3 linked regions of the Danio rerio genome follow. The protein of the gene in region 3 purifies or fractionates together with the protein of the main gene of each other region. This does not show direct contact. Links are inferred from orthologs where the notes say so. Each region holds a gene or a part of one and is shown on either strand. Other genes may lie near its edges.

The links.
Region 1: the proteins of sod1 (region 3) and park7 purify together in Homo sapiens (affinity purification with mass spectrometry; 4 studies listed by BioGRID and IntAct, with this or other methods). This does not show direct contact. The link is inferred for Danio rerio from reciprocal best matches to the Homo sapiens genes SOD1 and PARK7.
Region 2: the proteins of sod1 (region 3) and hspe1 purify together in Homo sapiens (affinity purification with mass spectrometry; 3 studies listed by BioGRID, with this or other methods). This does not show direct contact. The link is inferred for Danio rerio from reciprocal best matches to the Homo sapiens genes SOD1 and HSPE1.

What each region holds. Positions count from the first base shown.
Region 1 is NC_133186.1:43,777,293-43,784,004, forward strand, and holds the start of park7 (Parkinson disease protein 7 homolog), read left to right. Parts: upstream 1-3,027; 5' UTR 3,028-3,085; coding exon 3,086-3,175; intron 3,176-4,547; coding exon 4,548-4,649; intron 4,650-6,703; coding exon 6,704-6,712. UniProt on the Homo sapiens protein: Multifunctional protein with controversial molecular function which plays an important role in cell protection against oxidative stress and cell death acting as oxidative stress sensor and redox-sensitive chaperone and protease.
Region 2 is NC_133184.1:33,978,069-33,984,843, forward strand, and holds the start of hspe1 (10 kDa heat shock protein, mitochondrial), read left to right. Parts: upstream 1-3,090; 5' UTR 3,091-3,143; intron 3,144-3,198; exon of another isoform or gene 3,199-3,327; intron 3,328-3,529; 5' UTR 3,530-3,709; coding exon 3,710-3,712; intron 3,713-5,416; coding exon 5,417-5,575; intron 5,576-5,658; coding exon 5,659-5,748; intron 5,749-6,453; coding exon 6,454-6,504; 3' UTR 6,505-6,775. UniProt on the Homo sapiens protein: Co-chaperonin implicated in mitochondrial protein import and macromolecular assembly. Together with Hsp60, facilitates the correct folding of imported proteins.
Region 3 is NC_133185.1:30,630,851-30,635,964, reverse strand, and holds the end of sod1 (superoxide dismutase [Cu-Zn]), read left to right. Parts: intron 1-188; coding exon 189-285; intron 286-824; coding exon 825-894; intron 895-2,997; coding exon 2,998-3,115; intron 3,116-3,203; coding exon 3,204-3,311; 3' UTR 3,312-3,526; downstream 3,527-5,114. UniProt on the Homo sapiens protein: Destroys radicals which are normally produced within the cells and which are toxic to biological systems.

The DNA of each region.
Region 1 (6,712 bases), on a different chromosome or scaffold from region 3:
TTAATAAATCATATAAATAATCCTTGTTATAATTACTGTTTTTACATTACTGTAAGCGGTAAGTTTAAGGTTGGAGTAGGGGCAGATGTTAATACAATATAATTATTGGGGAATTTAATAAATAATATAAATAATCCTTGTCATGATTACTGTTTTTACATTACTGTAAGGTAAGTTTGGGGTTGGGCTAGGGGGAGACGTTAATACATTACAATGAATGGGTAATTTAATAATTAATACACTATCAGAAATAAAGGTATGCGAGCGGTCACTATACAAATTTGTACCATAAAGGTCCATATAAATACCTCAAAGGTACATATTAGTACCTAAAAAGTACAAAAGTGTGCCTCTTAAGATTTTTAGGTGCTTGAATGAATATGAATATGGACCCTTTAAGTACAAATGTGTACCTTTTAAAAAAGGTACCACCCCAGTGACAGCTCGTGTACCTTTATTTCTGAGAGTGTATAAATAATCCTTGTTATAATTACTGTTTTTACATTACAGTTAGACATAATTTTAGGATTGGGGTAGGGGTAGATGTAAATACGATGTAATGACTGGGTTATTTAATAAATAATGTAAACAATCCTTGTTATAATTAATGTTTTTACATTACAAGCGGTAAGTTTAAGGTTGGATTAGGGGTAGATGTTAATACAATATAATTATTGGGGAATTTAATAAATAATATAAATAACCCTTGTTATAATCACTGTTTTTACATTACTGTAAGCGGTCATTTTAGGGTTAGGGTGGGGTAGACGTTAATACAATACAATTAATGGGTAATTTAATAAATCATATGAAAAATGCTGTGTATACCTTTACCTTACTGGGATGGATGGGTTAAGGGTTGGGGTAGGGGTAGATGTTAATAAACGGATAATTTACAGCCCCAAATCAGAAAAAAGTTTGGACAATTCACATCATTATTTAATCAATTTACCTGATCACTAGCCCTAAATTGCTCTGGTCCCAAGTTTTGCTGCATTGTGCTGCAGGTGAATGACAGTAAAGGATGTATATTTACAAATGAAATAATGTTGACCAGACAAATCACGAAATATTTTGTGTTTATATTGTCTCCAATAAAATACAAGTCAAAGTAAATATAGTAATCCCTATTGTCTTATTTTATTTGTGTTTTCCGTACTGTTTCAACTTTTTCTGATTTGAGGTTGTAATAAATAGCATAATTGTCGTTAACTACTGGCCGCAGCTCTAAGGTTGTCCATTGCTGCAGTCCAATTTGTTATTGGGATACATCCACAGCAGGAAGTTAACAATAATTTCTATACGGTCTACACGGTAGCTCAGAGGTTAGCACGATGACCTCTTGACAAGAAGGTCACTGGTTCGAGTCCCGGCTGGATAAGTTGGCATTTCTATATGGAGTTTGCATGTTCTCCCCGTGTTGGTGTGGGTTTCCACTGGGTGTTTTGGTTTTCCCCACAGTCCAAACACATACGCTATAGAAGAATTGAATAAACTAAACTGGCCGTTGTGTATGACTATGAGTGTGTATGGGTGTTTCCCAGTACCGGAAGGGCATCATGGATACGAAAAGGAAGTCAATTTGCCCAAGAGTGTATTGTTTAAGGTTTTGAAAAATTACAATGACACATATGACACATTTGACACATATTCCCAAAATATGTGTCAAAATAAGAGTTGTCACCAAAAATTATTCCATTTACTGAAACAAAGATGTGGCCAAATTAAGACTCAAAATCAGCCCTGAGTGGATGAAAACAACAACATTCATGATTTTAAAAAGTGTTGTGCACAAATTGATTTTATTAAAATGATTTCTGAAGGATCTATGACAATATGAATAGTTTTTCTGGAGTAGCATTTTTATTTGTTCGTAAATGTTAATTCCTTCATCTTTCAAATTGTTCTTTATCTGGATTGAAATGAACACGTTCATCCTAAAATGCATTTGAAATGACGATAAAATTGTCTTCAGAGGCAAATTTACTGTTACTAATACATGATGGCGAAGATGAGGCCGTTTCAAGCCCATCAACAAGCAAGTGCATCTGAAAAAAAGGTCTCCAGCGTCCTCTAGTGGCCGAAGATCTGCATTTCTTTAAAATGGCCTGCATTTTCTTTACAGTGAAATTGTTCAGAATTAAAAACTATTTTTATTTTATTTTCATTCATTAATTTTCTTATCGACTTAGTCCCTTTATTAACTGGGAAACACCCACACACTCTTGTATTTACACACATTCACAAAGGACAATTTAGTCTATTACATATAGCGCATGTGTTTGGACTGTGCAACATGCAAACCCACACAGGAATGCCAACTGACCCAACTCGAGCCGGCGACTTTCTTGCTGTGAGGCGATTATGCAACGATTGACGCCCCTTTATTTTATTTTATTTTATTTTATTTTATTTTATTTTATTTTATTTTATTTTATTTTATTTTATTTTATTTTATTTTATATAGTCAGTGCAGGTCAAAAAAACTGCATGTTTTTTAATGTCTAAGTAAATATCCAAAATATTAATTTAAGTGTTTTATCAACTCTATTTATTATTTTGTGTCTGTAGATTTCAGTTGAAATACATATTTCGATTGACTTATTAAAATAAATTAAAGCAACATAAAATATTTGTTGTCTTGAATTTTTGTCATATTTTAGTGTAGAAGTTACAATGTACTGTTACAAACAGTGACACATTAATTTTATTTGGAATAAGAACGTTACGAGGGATTAAAATTAATAGCATATTAAGCACAACATAAACACTCCACTAAATAAACAAATTAAAATTTAAGAAAAAAATATACCCAAGTTTGACGTGGAATCAATCTCCGTTTACAGATGATTCAGTAATCAAAATAAAATCTGTTATCTTTTAATGCCTTTTTTTTCTTTGAAAAAAGAAAAAAAAAGAAAAACAACAACAAACGACCATAGAATAGCTCCTTACAAGAAGAAAACTTTTATTTTGCCTGGTAGTTCCCCATAACCCACCTACTCCCGGAAACGCCTTCCATAATAAAAGTACATGAGTGAGGTTGCATTGCAGACACGCACAGGTTATTAGACGCACGGTTATTATGGCCGGTAAAAGAGCGTTAGTGATTCTTGCGAAAGGAGCGGAGGAGATGGAGACTGTAATCCCGGTGGATGTGATGCGCAGAGCGGGGGTCTGTAGACACAAAACATTTAACTCGTGCAAATGTGTTGCCAAATGTCAATAACGTGTGTCAGTGATGTCTGTATGCAGCTGGTATGCTAATGTGTGTTGGTATTCTTAACATGCATGCATGCATTAATTAACGTTAGTGCAGTGAAGTGAAGATAATAAAGTTGTACTGTATGAATATTGCTTGTGTGCAGCGTTATGGTGGTCAGTTACTGCTGCCAGTGTGTAAATGCCAAAGTTTGCCTCTCTACAGGACACATTACATAATCACTGATTCTATGTCTTGGTCAATTTTGAGAGAAAGTTGATACTTTCATTGGTCAAATATGGCTTTAATAAATAAATAATTATATTGTTGAGCTTTTGTGCATTACATTTAGGAAAGAATCTTGAAAAACAGTCCTGTCACAGTTCTGAATTTTATGCTTCTTGGCACATAAAAAGCTGTGATTTAATTAGGATTTAAGTTTCTTTTCATTTTTTAAATATGTTTTTTTTTGTTTTAAGAAATTATTTTAATTTTCTATATTACTTTACGCACAATTAAATAGGCCACTGATTTTCCTTAATGCTATGAAATTATTATAAAGAATTGGATTTTCATCAAAACTTTATAGTGGTTATTTCAAATAATTGTGATTTAGATCAAATGACCACAGATAATTAATCAATATTTCATCAATATCATGCAGTCTTTAAGTGAATAATAGGAAAAATCATAGCATTTAAATGCATCAACAGTATATATCATCATTAGGCCCACACAGAATCTGCTGATTTTTAAGCCATCATTCAGTTTATTTATTTACTTGTGTAAATGTGTTAAATAAATATATATTTAATCAGTTTTAATATTAATTTCAGTATTATCATAGAATAAGTTGCCAATGCTTAGATAATTTATGTGCAATACAATTTGTACGCTAATATTTTCTGTCTATTAGAGGATGTGTGATATAAAAGTCGTACTTTAGCTTTCTTATACAATGCTAGTGGGTCCAATTTTGCATTTGAATTGTAAACCTTAAATAACAATTAAGAAGTTATTTTTTATTTTATGTTGTTTTTAGCCCCTATACTCTCAAAATCACTTTTCATAAATAAATAAATTAAATAATAATAAAAAAACAGAGTATTAATTTAATCTTTTTTTTTTTTTTTTTTTTGCTTAATTTTGTGCAGAAATACAGAAAAAACATTTAAGAAATCTTTCTGTCTGGCTCTGGCCATCATTACTATAGTGAAATACTATAGTATTTCACTGGAATATAGCAATTTGGTTTCTAGTCATAAATTATGTCTCATGCATGTTACATTTAATTTACAAATTCAATAAATATCAATAAGCAGAGTGTTTTGTCCCTTTCTCGTAGATCGCTGTTACTGTCGCAGGTCTGGCAGGTAAAGAGCCGGTTCAGTGCAGCCGTGAGGTCATGATCTGCCCAGACTCCAGCCTGGAGGACGCACACAAACAGGTCTGACTTTACATATTATAAGTACCTGCTTATCTAAATTTTACAATTTAGTGTAACTCTTAAGTAGTTCTGCACAATACTGGGAAAATATGCAATATTTTGTTGTTGAGTGTTGCGATCATGATATTTCTTACGATATAACTAACTTTAAAAAAAAGTATACACCTTCTTTAAAAAAATAATTTATTTATGTAATATTTAAACTAAAATAAACAGGTACTAGATATTTTTCTGAGCTAATTAAATCTCAAAATAAATAAATGATAGGGGTATTCGATTTTAAATCAAAATCAATCGAAACTTATGCTCAATTTCGATTATCGAATCAAAAAATAGAATCGTCGATGCTGCCACGCCCCCATGTCACGTCAGGCCCGTTGCAAATCCGCTCGCAAAAGTACACCACCAAAGGTTGATCTCTAGAGGTATCTGTCCTGGGTCATTCTTTGTCCTTGGCGTAACCCGTCTTTGTGATGTCTGCCTCGAGGTCACGTCACCAGGTATATCTTGGAAGGCCTCTCTTCCGCTTTCCTTTGCGGTTTCATCTAAGAGCTTATCTGGTGATCATCACAGGTTGGACTCAGCATGCACACAGAGAAGACCAAGATTCTTAAGATCAACTACAACAATCCATTAACTCTGAAGGAGGTACAGTCTTTTACTTACCTGGGCAGTGTCATCGACCAGCATGGTGGAACAGATACTGACATTAAGGGCCTACTTACACTATGCCATCCGTACCGTGCCCAGGCCCGTTTCCTGGATTGTTTGAGAAGTGTGAGTGCACTGAATCGGACTCAAGCACGGTTCACTTGGCCGCCCCTGGCCTGGTTGGAAGAGGTGGGCCTGAGCGCGGTTCACTTGGGCTCAAAAACTGAAAGCGAGACGTGACTTTTAAAGGGCTCATATGGATTTATTAATCATTCTTACTGTTCAGTGAACGCAAACTGCCGTAGTTTATTAAAGACGAGAACTCCTCACTGCATGACAGCTGCGCTCCTTCAGCAGACCTCCTCATTCCTGCAGCACGAGAGCTTTATGATTGTTTATAAGCGCCAAAAGTGACGGATCTGTTCGGCAAAATATCTGACTGCGTGTCACCGCATCCCTAAGGACTGTGTGGTGAAATATTTGACTGCATGTCACTGCATAACAAACGACTGACACAATATATAACTAGAGTTGTTGTACAGGTTTGAAATTTAAAGGTTAACCAAAACTACTACCAGAAGAACCTATACATTCATCAACACTTGTCTCACAAAGACTCTATACATTCACAGGCCTGTCATGATCTGTAACACCAACCTATGGGGAGGGACCCATATATATTTATATATTTTTAAATGTATATAAATATATATATATATATATATATATATATATATATATATATATATATATATATATATATATATATATATATATATATATATATTGAATAATCATAATTATAATTATGACCAAAATAAGCATTATTATAATTTTTCATATAATCGAGCAGCCCTACCTACTCCTGCTTTCATCTCTGAACTGATTTGGATTTAAAGAACGTTGAAAGTAAATAAATGGAGTATTGTCTCCATCTTCTGGCCAAGCAATGCATTGCCAATAAAATAAGCACTACTGCTTTACCACTGAAATTCATTAGGTATTCTTGCTTTATTAAAGGATCTTAATTTTAAATAAGAAAACCCTTACAATATTCATGAGACTCATATACATATGCAAAATGTCAAATATTCTGTGGGAGTTCAGTTTAAATTGAGTTGCTTTCATTTAATAAAACAAGAATTCCTAATGAAATCAATGGTAAACAGTATTTCTGCATATGCATAATATAAACAAAGCAAATGTTCATGATTGTTTTCTTCCTTGTTTATATACACATGCAGAATGTCAAATATTCTGAGGGAGTTCAGTTTTAATTGAGTTGCTTTCATTTAATAAAACAATATTTCCTAATGAATTTCAATGGTAAATAAGTATTCTAATCAGTATGTAACCAATATGGTTTTATGTCAGTTGTGCATGTCATTTTCTTTCCTAAACAGGGTCCATAT
Region 2 (6,775 bases), on a different chromosome or scaffold from region 3:
TTTATCCTAAAATGTTGATTGTTAAAATGTACAGTTTATTCTGATCAATTATGTTTATAATTGAATTGTATAAATAATATGATATATTGAATAACATGATATATTAAATATATTGTATTTTATTTGAATATTATATGTTTTTTTTTGCTTTACTACTATATATTGTGTGTACTGTTTTTTTATTATACATGTATGTTACTTTATGTAAACTTTTTATTCAATACATTTGTAACATTTGTCATGCCAATAAAGCAATTATTGAAATTAATTTAGAGAAAGGCATAAAATTACAAAATGAATTCAATTAATTTAAAACAAAGTGTTTCAGAATCATTCAGAGGCCCTTGTTTATTTGTAATTTACAGGATAAACAGCATTTAATTTATAAAATAAATAACAAAAAAATGGAATATAATAAAAATTTGCTCATATCTGGTCATTTCTCAGTAAATATGCACAAAATATCCAATGATTTTACACTATTTACAGCCAGCCACACTTGGCTTTAGGGCTGTGCGATTTGGGGAAAATAGCTAATTGCGATTTTTCTGACAGATATTGCTATTGGATTTACGAATAATTTTGTAGTCGAGCTCAATATTCTAAGTTGTGGCAACAATTCTGCAACAGCTCTTAAAAATGACCTGTTTTTGACTTTGAAAACAAAATATTCCCAGTGCTGTTTTTCTTTGGTATTAATTTGTCGATTAATGCTTCTGAAGCAGCCGACACCATCATCCCACTTATCAGCGCTTTCCGGTTTGGTTTCTCTTTTTTATTGTGGCTGTAGTTCGGTTGCAAAATTCTGATTGAGCAGAACAAAAGTGTGCTCACTCAATTGGCTGGTAAGACTGTCACACACAGCCATCAGTCGCTCATGTGCTCTGGGTGGGGGAAATTAAACAATATATACATTTCATATTGCAGCCTCTTGCGAATAACTAATCACAACGTTTTAAATTGGGATACGAGTTTGATTAATCTCACAGCTCTACTTGGCTTCATCAACACTATAGGCGATTTTGAATGATAAAAATATTATAATACACATACTCATAAAAACTTTTTGGTCCATTTAAAAAAAGAAAAAAAAAAACGCACATTATAATATATACACATTTATTTTCTATTTAGTATTAGGCTACAATATTATTTTGTTCCTCCTACTAATAATATACTATTACAATTACTATAATAATTTAATTATGATATTTACACATTCAAATGTTATTAGTTAGAACTTGCAATTATCTAAATGTTATTTATTATATTTGTTTTTTAAATTACTTATTTGAATCTCACAAATGTTCATCTTCATTTAATAATTAGATGGTATACATTTTCTTTTAAAAAATGCTTATAGTAATAATTTGTAATTTATTAATTAAATTTTTATTATTATTATTATTATTAGTTAATTTATTATTTTGTTTGGCTAATATTTTACAATAAAATCTGCATGAATGACCCCTTTCCCCAGTTTGAGAACCTCTGATTTAATCAATGACGTGGCCCCGCCCAAAACTGACAAACATTGGTTGAAGCAGGCAGAAATCCTTTACTGATTGGCTGATAGTAGCCAACAAATCGAAGAATCAGTTTCTTAAAAGATCCTAGTGTGATTTTTCATTACAATTTCGGTGTTCGGTTAGGCATAGAGTACATTTAATGCATGGCAGTCACACACAGAAAAAAATATCTGAACAAGGATAATATCTGAACAATCCCTAACCAGCAAGGGAAAAAAAGCCTTGTGTCGAGGTCACATGATACGGATGCCAAAAATTTGTCTTTGCACTCGCCGCCCCCTCCAATGCTTTACACTGGCCATTCATTCATTTTTTAAGCTAATTCTCCTCTTATTTGGTGTCCAAAATGTCAGCACCTCCCCTTAAAACATGTTCTGGAATATACGATATCATCACTTCATGGATCACATGGACACTTACAACAATGTTTCGTAAAATCAGAGTACCATGCATTTAAAAAAATGTTTAATATAACATTAGACTAACATTTTCAGTGTAATGTTATTTTGTATTTAATGTAAATACTAATGTTTAAACAATCGTGTCTTGTAAAGCCTGTAGTGAGTCCCTCTACTACCCCACGTGTGTTCAGGGCGTCACAAGGTCAAAATCACTCCGCGTCACGACACAGACGGAAATGATGCCTTTCATCTCCATGAGTTCACGTTATAAAGTTCCCTGGATATTCCTTTTGTTTAATCAAAATCAACCATAGTAGATTTTACACCGCTTAAATATTCCAAACATAAAAATATTTAATATTCGTAGGCCTCAATATAGCATAACTTGCAATAGTCAACTGAACACCTATAACCACTATTATACTGTCTTAAATTGCTTATAAAGCAACAGCTAAATTAAACACATGCATTACAGTTGTCAGCATAAGTGCATAACGTTATAATATGCAAAACACCCTGCTTACTATAAAGCCGGCTATTCTAATGGCTGCATCTGTCATCAAGGATAAATGTTAAAAAAAAATTAACTAATTGACAAGTCGTTCGACAAGAAACATGCACGATGCTACTTTATAACTCTGAGAAACAACGTGACAGTGTGTTACATGATTAACTTACATGCTACGATACGTCCCTGCCTGTTTGAGCTCACTGATTTCAATTATCTTTATATCAGCTTGGCATTAAAGAGCATTAAGCAATATATTGTGTTTATAGGCTTTTATGGATGAGGATAATGCTGAGTGACTTACTGCAGAGTGATCTGGAGGTGAATGAAGGGATGCGCGTGTCCGTCAGCGGAGCAGGCTGAATGATATAAGAGGAGCCGCTTTAGAGCCGCTGCAGTTCCACTCGACGCACATGTGTTCTTCATCCGGGTAACCTCCCCCGCAGCCCTGACATCTGCATAACTCAATACTCTCACATTCTATGTATGCGTTATGCTTTTTTTAAAACATACGCTTTCAGCAACTTTTGTCTCAATAATAATTGACGTATTTTGACGACAGTGGGAGAAAATGTGAACAAAATGTATCATTAATATCTATTAAATCGGTGTTATGCTCGTTCCGGGGCTTTAAGTTCGAGAAATTTCGCAGATTCTATTGGAGAAAAATAGACGTCAGAGGTCAAGATTGTGCAACCAGAAATGGTATTGCGTTTTGCAAATTTCGTTGTTTTTTTTGTTAAAGGTCTAATATTATAACCTTTTCTTATAGATTATCTACATATTAAGTCAATATATGTGTATTTATATTATATAATTACAATACTTTATTATTAATAATATTAGTATTATGTAGAAAGCTCAAGATAGCTTTTAAAAATGCATTTGAGTTGAGTTATTTGTCAATTTTATCTTTTAAAAATAAAAATCATCTATATTAAATGTGTTTGAATAACGTGAAATTTTGTACTGAAGCAGCACATGTATTATTCATTTAAATATTGTGCAAGTTATAAATGCTGTAACAATCAGATAAAAATTTCTCCTTTGTTACGAAACAACAAAAAAAGAGTCAAATGTCTTTATGTAAGGTTTGGGAGATCGAGGAATATTCTAGATTGCAGGTCTGGGGTCGGTAGGGATTGTCTTGTGGCGCATGCGCAGTGCCCTTCCAGACATTTCTTCTTCACGTGGATCGCAGGAGTGAAGTGGTCCAGTGTGACGGTCTCTTGCTGCTCTGTCGGACGCGGTTTTCTTAAAGATCAGCTAAAATGGTAAGACGCGTAAGATAATTAATCCAACTACTCCGTCTGAATGAGATGTTACTATGTTGTGTTGAATTGTTTCGCGTGATGTTTTATAACTCCCCATCAACTGCGACTGCAAGGTCACGGTTAGTAATGCAGTCGTGCCCAGATTCAATGTGTAAAAATGATTTGATGCTGAAGTTGTTAGTTAATATGGGCACGTGAAGTGTGGGTGAAAGGTTGGTTTATGTCAATAAGGTTCAGAGCTAACCCGATGTATTTAATGAATAATTTTGCTAACAGCTGGTTTATACACCAGCGTAACATTTTGGTATAACGTTAACGTTAGATGTGTAAATGGGGTTTTAATAGTGTTAATGTTACACGATAAAAAAAATGCACCTGACATTTTGTGTTATAAATACTTAACGTGTTAAGAGTGTTTTTCTTGTATATCCGTCACACATTGTGTAAAATTGACTTAATTTTCGTTATAATAACTTAATAATTCACGTTGTGGAAACACTCAGGCTCAAAGATCAGTACAGCCAATAGTGTTTCAGCTAGACATGAACTTCCGGGTCATTTTGAATAGAGGCGAACGCATGTGCATTATGATGGACACTGCTGTAACTACTTTGTATTTTATTGAGACAGATATATATTTTTAAATGCAGGGTAATGCTTTTATTTGTGCATATTTAAGAGAAAGTTTACCCAAAAATGAAATGTACTTTTACTCAGTCCTGAAGAGGTTCTATATCTTTGAGCGTTTTTTTCTGTTAAAAAGATAAGATATTTAGAAAAATGTTGGAAACCGGTAGCCGTTAACATCCATTAAAAATATATATATAAAAGTAAGTCAATAACTACCGGTTTCCAATAGCATGCTAAGTGATGTGCGTATTTTATTTTCTACTAGATAGTAATCGAGTCATTTGTGCCACGACTTGTGAGTTATAAATTTGCCTTGTAGTTTGCGGCCAGGTGAAACTGATTTACTCTAGAATCTTCTACACGCTTGTCTGTTCTGCCTTCAGGGTTCAGGGTTTATCATGTTGCCTGTCCTTTTGTCCTTCAGCAGTATGGTAAACATTTACAAAACCTCCAAAACTTTTTCCTCCCCCACACTAACCCTCAACATCTCCTGTCCCATCAACCCTCCCTCACACACGACCTTCTCCCAAGGTCACACACATCTGTTCTCAGAAAAGCAGCAGCTGTTGTCTTTGTAACGGTATGATACAGAGTGTTTGATGGTCAGCACTTTTCTGGAGTCAGCCTAAAACTTATCTTTGAAAGAATGCAAACCAAAGATTTAGTTACAACTGAAATCAAAAATCAGTTGTTCTTTATTATGGGACTCCAGTTTATTTTAAAATCATGAATGAACACTTTTGGTCATGGAATAATCATTTAGCAAAAGCCGCAGACGAAAATGAAGACAAATCTAAAGGGATAGTTCACGAAAAAACTCTAGAAAATTCTGTTATATTTACCTTTAACTCTCAGTTTGTCTTTTGTTGAACAGAAAATAAGTTATTTAGAAAAATGCTGAAAACCTGTAACCTTTGGTTATTTCTACCATGAAAGTCAATGGTTACTGATAAAAACTGTTGGGGTTTTTTGTGTGACGCCCCCTTGTGTGTGTTTTTTTCCCTTTTCAAGTGTTGCGAAACTGTATCGACTATTTCTCCACTGCACTAAGCATGATTTTTTTTTCCTTTCTAGCAGGCTTTCCGGAAGTTTCTCCCCATGTTTGACCGTGTGTTGGTAGAGCGGCTCGCTGCAGAGACCGTGTCAAGAGGAGGCATCATGATTCCAGAAAAGTCTCAAGCCAAAGTGCTGCAGGCTACCGTGGTAGCAGTGGGTCCAGGATCCACAAACAAGGTAATTTTTATTTATTTAAAATTTTATTTACATTTTTCATTACAGTGTGTGAAATCAGAGTTTTAATTATTTCTGTTTTTCAGGATGGGAAAGTAATACCTGTCTGTGTCAAAGTTGGGGATAAAGTTTTGTTGCCGGAGTACGGAGGAACTAAAGTTATGCTTGAAGATAAGGTTTGAACATTTGCCGTTTATTGACTCTTACTTTTTATCCATTTAGAACAGAGATGCCCAAACTAGGGGCCCATGGGCCAAAGTTGGCCCATACTAACCTTTGTTTTGGCCCCTCATCCCATCTGAGAAAAGAGGGAGAATGATGGGGATGATTTAGAGATTGTCAATTAAAATTTAATTTAACCCTTTGTTTGTTTTATTGTTAAAAGCTAACTGAAATTAAATGATGCAAATTAATCAGATTTTAATTAAATACTGGCACTCGACAATGCAGAGACTTTGATGAGCAAATTAACCTGTGTATTCAGCATTGTACTCCACTGTGTTATAAATGTAATTGTTTGTTTTTATTGCTATATGTTATCATTTTAAAAGTTATACTGCATTAGTTAATACAATTAAGTAATATTTTCTATTTATTTTGAAATATTATGAAATAAATTAGAAAATGACCCATGGCAACTTGAATGTAAAATAGTTTGGTTTGTTTACCTTTGGCCCATGGCTATCAAGAATATTTGCTTTTTGGTCCTTCATGTGAAACCTTTTTAAGCACCCCTGATTTCTGAGGTTTGAGTTTTTTTTTTTTTTTTCTTACAGAAACCAAATGTATTTGCATCCAAAATAACGAAATTGAAATGTAATCTATTTTATAATGATTGTTTGATTTATAAACTGCTATTCTTCTTTTATTTTCTTTTGTAGGACTATTTCCTTTTCCGGGATGCAGATATTCTTGGCAAATACGTAGATTGAAGTCAGCTTGTCCAGCCATCTGTGTCATTCTAAAGTGCATAGAATGAAAGATTGTTCCATGTTTGTTTTCATTTTTCTATGTCATTTGATTGTAAATAAGTATGATCATGTTTTGTTAAAATAAAGTGATCTTGATGTTTCATCTCACTTTTTGAGGTTAACAGTTTTGAAATTGAACATGTGACCGCTGAAACGTATACCAACTGTATAAACTGGGAAGTGATATACATCTTAACAATTGAAGCATTGCCAAGACTTTATAGTTCATATA
Region 3 (5,114 bases):
TTCCGTGTTGAGATAAACATGCAGTGCATTCCAGGTGTACATTTGGAAACAAATTGTCTGTATGATGTGTTTTGCAGCCAAGCATAACTTGGTTAACTGCGCTTTTGTTTTGTGAAATGATATGAAACCATGTTTTCTGAAGTGATATGAAACCGTTGTTAACCACACAATGGATCTGTATGTTTTAGGGTGAAAAGAAGCCAGTCAAGGTGACTGGTGAAATTACTGGCCTTACTCCAGGAAAACATGGTTTCCACGTCCATGCTTTTGGTGACAACACAAACGGTAAGGAGTGGTCAAACTGAACATTTAGCGATTATTATGGCCCACATGATGATTTATATCGCTTCATTTCTCCCCCCATTTTGTGCATTCACCACCCTATTAAATGAGATCCCAGGTGTAAACAACCTCCTTGTGAGCAAAATGCATCATAATTTCAGGTGTAAACGGGGTGTCAGGGTATGCCACTCCATTCATTAAAGCAGTGTTTTTCAACCACGTTCCAGGAGGATCATCAGTTCTGCATATTTTCCATGTCTCCTTAACCAAACACACCTGATTCAGATCATCAGCTCCAGGAACATGGTTGAGAAACACTGCATTAAAGTACAAGTTCATCCCATCAGGACCAATAACCTTGACCTAAAACCATTAGACTCCATTTTTTACCTGGTTCTGAATCCAAAGTGAAGGAGTAAACAGCTCTGAAAAGTTTTTAAATTCTCCACTTACATACTTTCATAGTGTAAGCACTTAATGCGTTTAAAGGGCCACAAATCACACTTGTGCTATTTTTATTTATTTTTTGCTCTTGATCACAGGCTGCATCAGTGCAGGTCCGCACTTCAACCCTCATGACAAAACTCATGGTGGGCCAACCGATAGTGTGAGGTGAGTTTATCAGTGTGCTCTGATACATCTGTTTTGCATGATTTACAGTATCTATATATAGTAAAATGCTAATATTTATTGTCTGTACGGATTGTCACTGAAAGCAGAAACTCTACTTGCCCTCAAAGTTGTCCCATTTACTTAAATCCTGTTTGTTTAAAAGTTGATCTGCATTTGTCGCATGGGCCTGTATCTCAATTTAGGCATGTGTGGTGTCAGAAGACAGAACATCGAATACAGGGTTTCCGCAGGGTCTTAAAGTCTCAAACTTAAAAATCGAAATTTTAGGCCTTAAAAAAATCTTTAATTTGCTGTTCTAGGTCTTAAATATTTTTGCACCGGTCTTATTTTTCCCATGTCCATGTAACACTACATCTAATGCTCATTTAAATTATTTTTTGTTGTTGCTTGGTTTTTGTGGTGTTGTAGTTGTTTATTTCAATAGTCCAAATGTGGTATAAAATGCGGTATAAAAACTACAAATGAGACCAACATGCAACAGCCAATCAGCCTACTGTTATTGAACTCAATAACGAACTGTTATCACGCAGCGAATGTGATGTCATGGCATGCGTCATGCGCGCGACGTGTTTTCGGCTGGTGGAGCGCACAGGATTATTTGAGACTCGGGTGAACAGTTCGCACAGCGTTTGATTTGAGTTGAATAAGAATCCCTTTGTAGAGATTTTGTCTGAAACGAGTATACGACTTTACAGACACCATTATGATCTGTCCATGCGTGATAGTGGAGAACCAGATGACAAATAATTCTTAGCCAGATTGCAACAGCTGTGGGAAAAGATGAAAGCTTTTGTTAAAGTTTGAAAAAAACATGAGGGATAAGTTTAAGCCAAAAGTGGTCATGGCAAAAGTGAACCAGGTACACAATTACAGAATATGTTTTTTGTAAGTGTACTTTTTTTTGCTTTTATACATTAATTGGCAGAACTGTTCGAGACATGAACAAAAGCAAGTGATGCATCAAAGTTTGATTTTAAAAAAATCTTGAATGGTTATAAAAATCTTTATAATCATTTTAATAAATCATAAAAAATAAGTTTAAAAATCTTGAACGATATTAATGATATGACGTAGTTCCTGAAACTTCCTATTTCTCTGTTTATGCGTCTGACTTTACGGTGGCTTTCTTTTCATTGCCCCTGTCGTTTTAAAGAGCCTCGTCCATTTGAGGTGCCCTCGCAGTCAGCGAAGGTGCGTGATGCAGCACCAGGCGACAGCATAAGATGTTTGTTTGTTTTTTTTTCCTATAGTTCAATGATGCATCTAACCTGTCTTCAGTACTGTTCAATTTGAATACATTTGTTTTACCACAAATTTTGCGTTTTCTCTTTATGCGTATGCATGTTTTTGGTATTGTGATATAGGTCTTAAATGTAATACTTAATGGCCTTAAAGTCTTTAAAAGTCTTGAATTTGACACTATGATATCTGCAAAAATCCTGCAATAGCATTTTATGATTTTCTTTTTTATTTTTTGTCAAAAGAGGAACTTAAAAAAAAAAAAAACATGGCTACCCAATTGAAAAATGAAAATGAAAATTTTTAAATGAAGTGTAAATAGCATTACACATATTAATTGGCAATAAACAAAAAGCTATAAATAAATAGAATATAAATAATACCGTCCCGTGGGCAGCGAGAATCGCCAACAAAGAAGTCCTAGTGTGCATCAAGCCAAAGACCTCGCCGGAGGCCAAGATCACCAAACAGAAATTATCCTATTCTATCCTTCCCCATGTCATGCGTAGCAATTCACTCAAGAAGGCAGTCTTGCTGGGAATGGTCAGTGAAAGTAGGAGGAAAGGCTGCCCAAGAACTTGTTGGCTCGATACTGTCAAATCTTATACCAACATGAGCATGCGCTAACTCAAAGAAGCGGTGACTATTAGAACTGTGTGAAGGGAATAATGCATAGAATGACTGAAAATCGCCTTCGATTACACAGATAATTGATTGATTTAAATAATGAAGTAATGAAAGATTTGTTGTTTTATTGCATGCACATTAGGAATACAGTATGTGTTCAGTGTGATGTCTTGGTTTAGTAGATGTTTTATTACTGTAATGTACTGTCTCTCTTAGACACGTCGGAGACCTGGGTAATGTGACCGCTGATGCCAGTGGTGTTGCAAAAATTGAAATCGAGGATGCAATGCTGACTCTGTCAGGCCAACATTCTATTATTGGGAGGACCATGGTGGTAAGGAAGACATCATTTATAAAAAGCGGCACATTAAATGACAATAACTGTGCAATAACAGCCGACCTCTTGTGTCTTCCTGCTGTAGATTCATGAGAAGGAGGATGACTTGGGGAAGGGTGGCAATGAGGAAAGTCTTAAAACTGGCAACGCTGGTGGTCGTCTGGCCTGTGGAGTGATCGGCATCACTCAGTGAATCTGCTCTAATGGAAGAGCCGGTTGAAATATTGGTGACCAATGTGGATGCCTCTGAAAGCACTTAGCCCGCTGACAATTACATCTCTATTTTTGTTAGGTAACGTTGAAAGAATTGTACTTTAGCCTTGTTAAGCTGTTTTTCTGTGCATTTCTATGTGGGCAACCTTTTATTTGTTATCTGCTTAATTCATTAAACATTGAGCAGACTGGAAATGTGGATGTGTGTGTCTTTTATGAACTACATTTAATAAAATTGTGCAAGTCCATTATTAGAATGAATGCTAATCAGTGTTTATTTGTAATTTAAAATTACAATTTTATTGCTAAAATTACTAAAATTGTAGCATAAAAATATATAATAGCATAAAATAATATTAAAATAGCAGGTTTTTTTTCTGGGATAATTGATTAATTTGCAATCCAGCCACTTTATTAGGTAAACCTTGCTAGTACTAGACTTAATGACCTTTGGCATTTGAAACTAGTACCTGACAGGGATATTCACCCAAAACTGAAAATTGTCATCATTTACTCGCTTTTAACAAGTTCCAAATCTGTCTTTTTTTCTGTTGACCACAAAAGAAGATATTTTGAAGAAAGCTGGAAACATTGACTTCCACAGTATTCAGGGGTTCCTTCTTTCAAAATAACCTCTTTAGTGTTCAGCAGAAGAAAGACTCTTAAACATCTGTAACCACTTGAGGGGGAGTAAATGATTGCGTGAACTATCCCTTAATTCTTTGAGGCAGAGGTTTAACATGATGTTAGAAACATTCATTCAGGATTTTGGTCCATGTTGACATGATGGCATCATGTAGTTGGTATATATTTGTCAGCTGCACTTCCATGATGCAATCACCCATTCCACTGCATCCCAAAGGTGCTCTGGATTGAGATCTGTTTACTGCAGTGGCTAATTTGACTATAGTGAATTCACTGTCAAGAAACTTGTTTAATTGTTTGATTTAAGCTTTTTGACATGCCTCGTTCACCTGCTAGAAGTCGCATCGCTAGGTACACTGTGCAAGGACAGCCAGAAAAAAGGTGCCAAAAATTCATCATATCTTTACAGCACCATCATGCAGCAGCCCAGTCTTCAATTACAAAGCAGGATTGATCTTTACGTGCATGTTTACACTAATTTCTATTCACATCCTGTAGCAGAAATGAAGACTCGTCAGACCAGGCAACCATTTCCCAATCTTCAACTGCTCGTTTAGTGAAGGCATGTGAACTGTAGCCTCAGTTTACTGTTTTTATGACAAGGTGTAAAGTTATTGTTTCTTTTTTTATTTTCTTTCTGTTGAACAAAATATATTTTGAAGAATGTTGAAAACCGGTAACCATTGAGTTCTTTCTTACTATCAGGGCCGTTTATATCGAAGTTCATATTTAGCTGCACCATGTTGGTGTTTCATAACATCAAATTTTTACAAAGTCGGTTGTTAGCTCAATGCTCAATCCCCAACCCGGAAGATCAAGACACACCCAGCAAGTATTTTTTATTTGTAAAAGATGCCTAATAGATGTCTAAACATGGTAGTCTTGGCTAAAACAAGGCTTAATTTGTGCTATCAGTAAAAAATCTAATAGACGTCTAAAGAATAGGTCAAAACCAAATAAATCAAACAAACAGAAATGAATGACTACACTTATTAAATCTGTCGATTTGATAGTCTTTTTTGGCTAGATGTCTATATAGATTTTCTCTGACAGCTCGAATTTACCCTTGTTTTAGCCAGGCTGTCTACGTTTAGATGTCATTAAGACGTCTATAAACACAAAATTGTTTGCTGGGTAC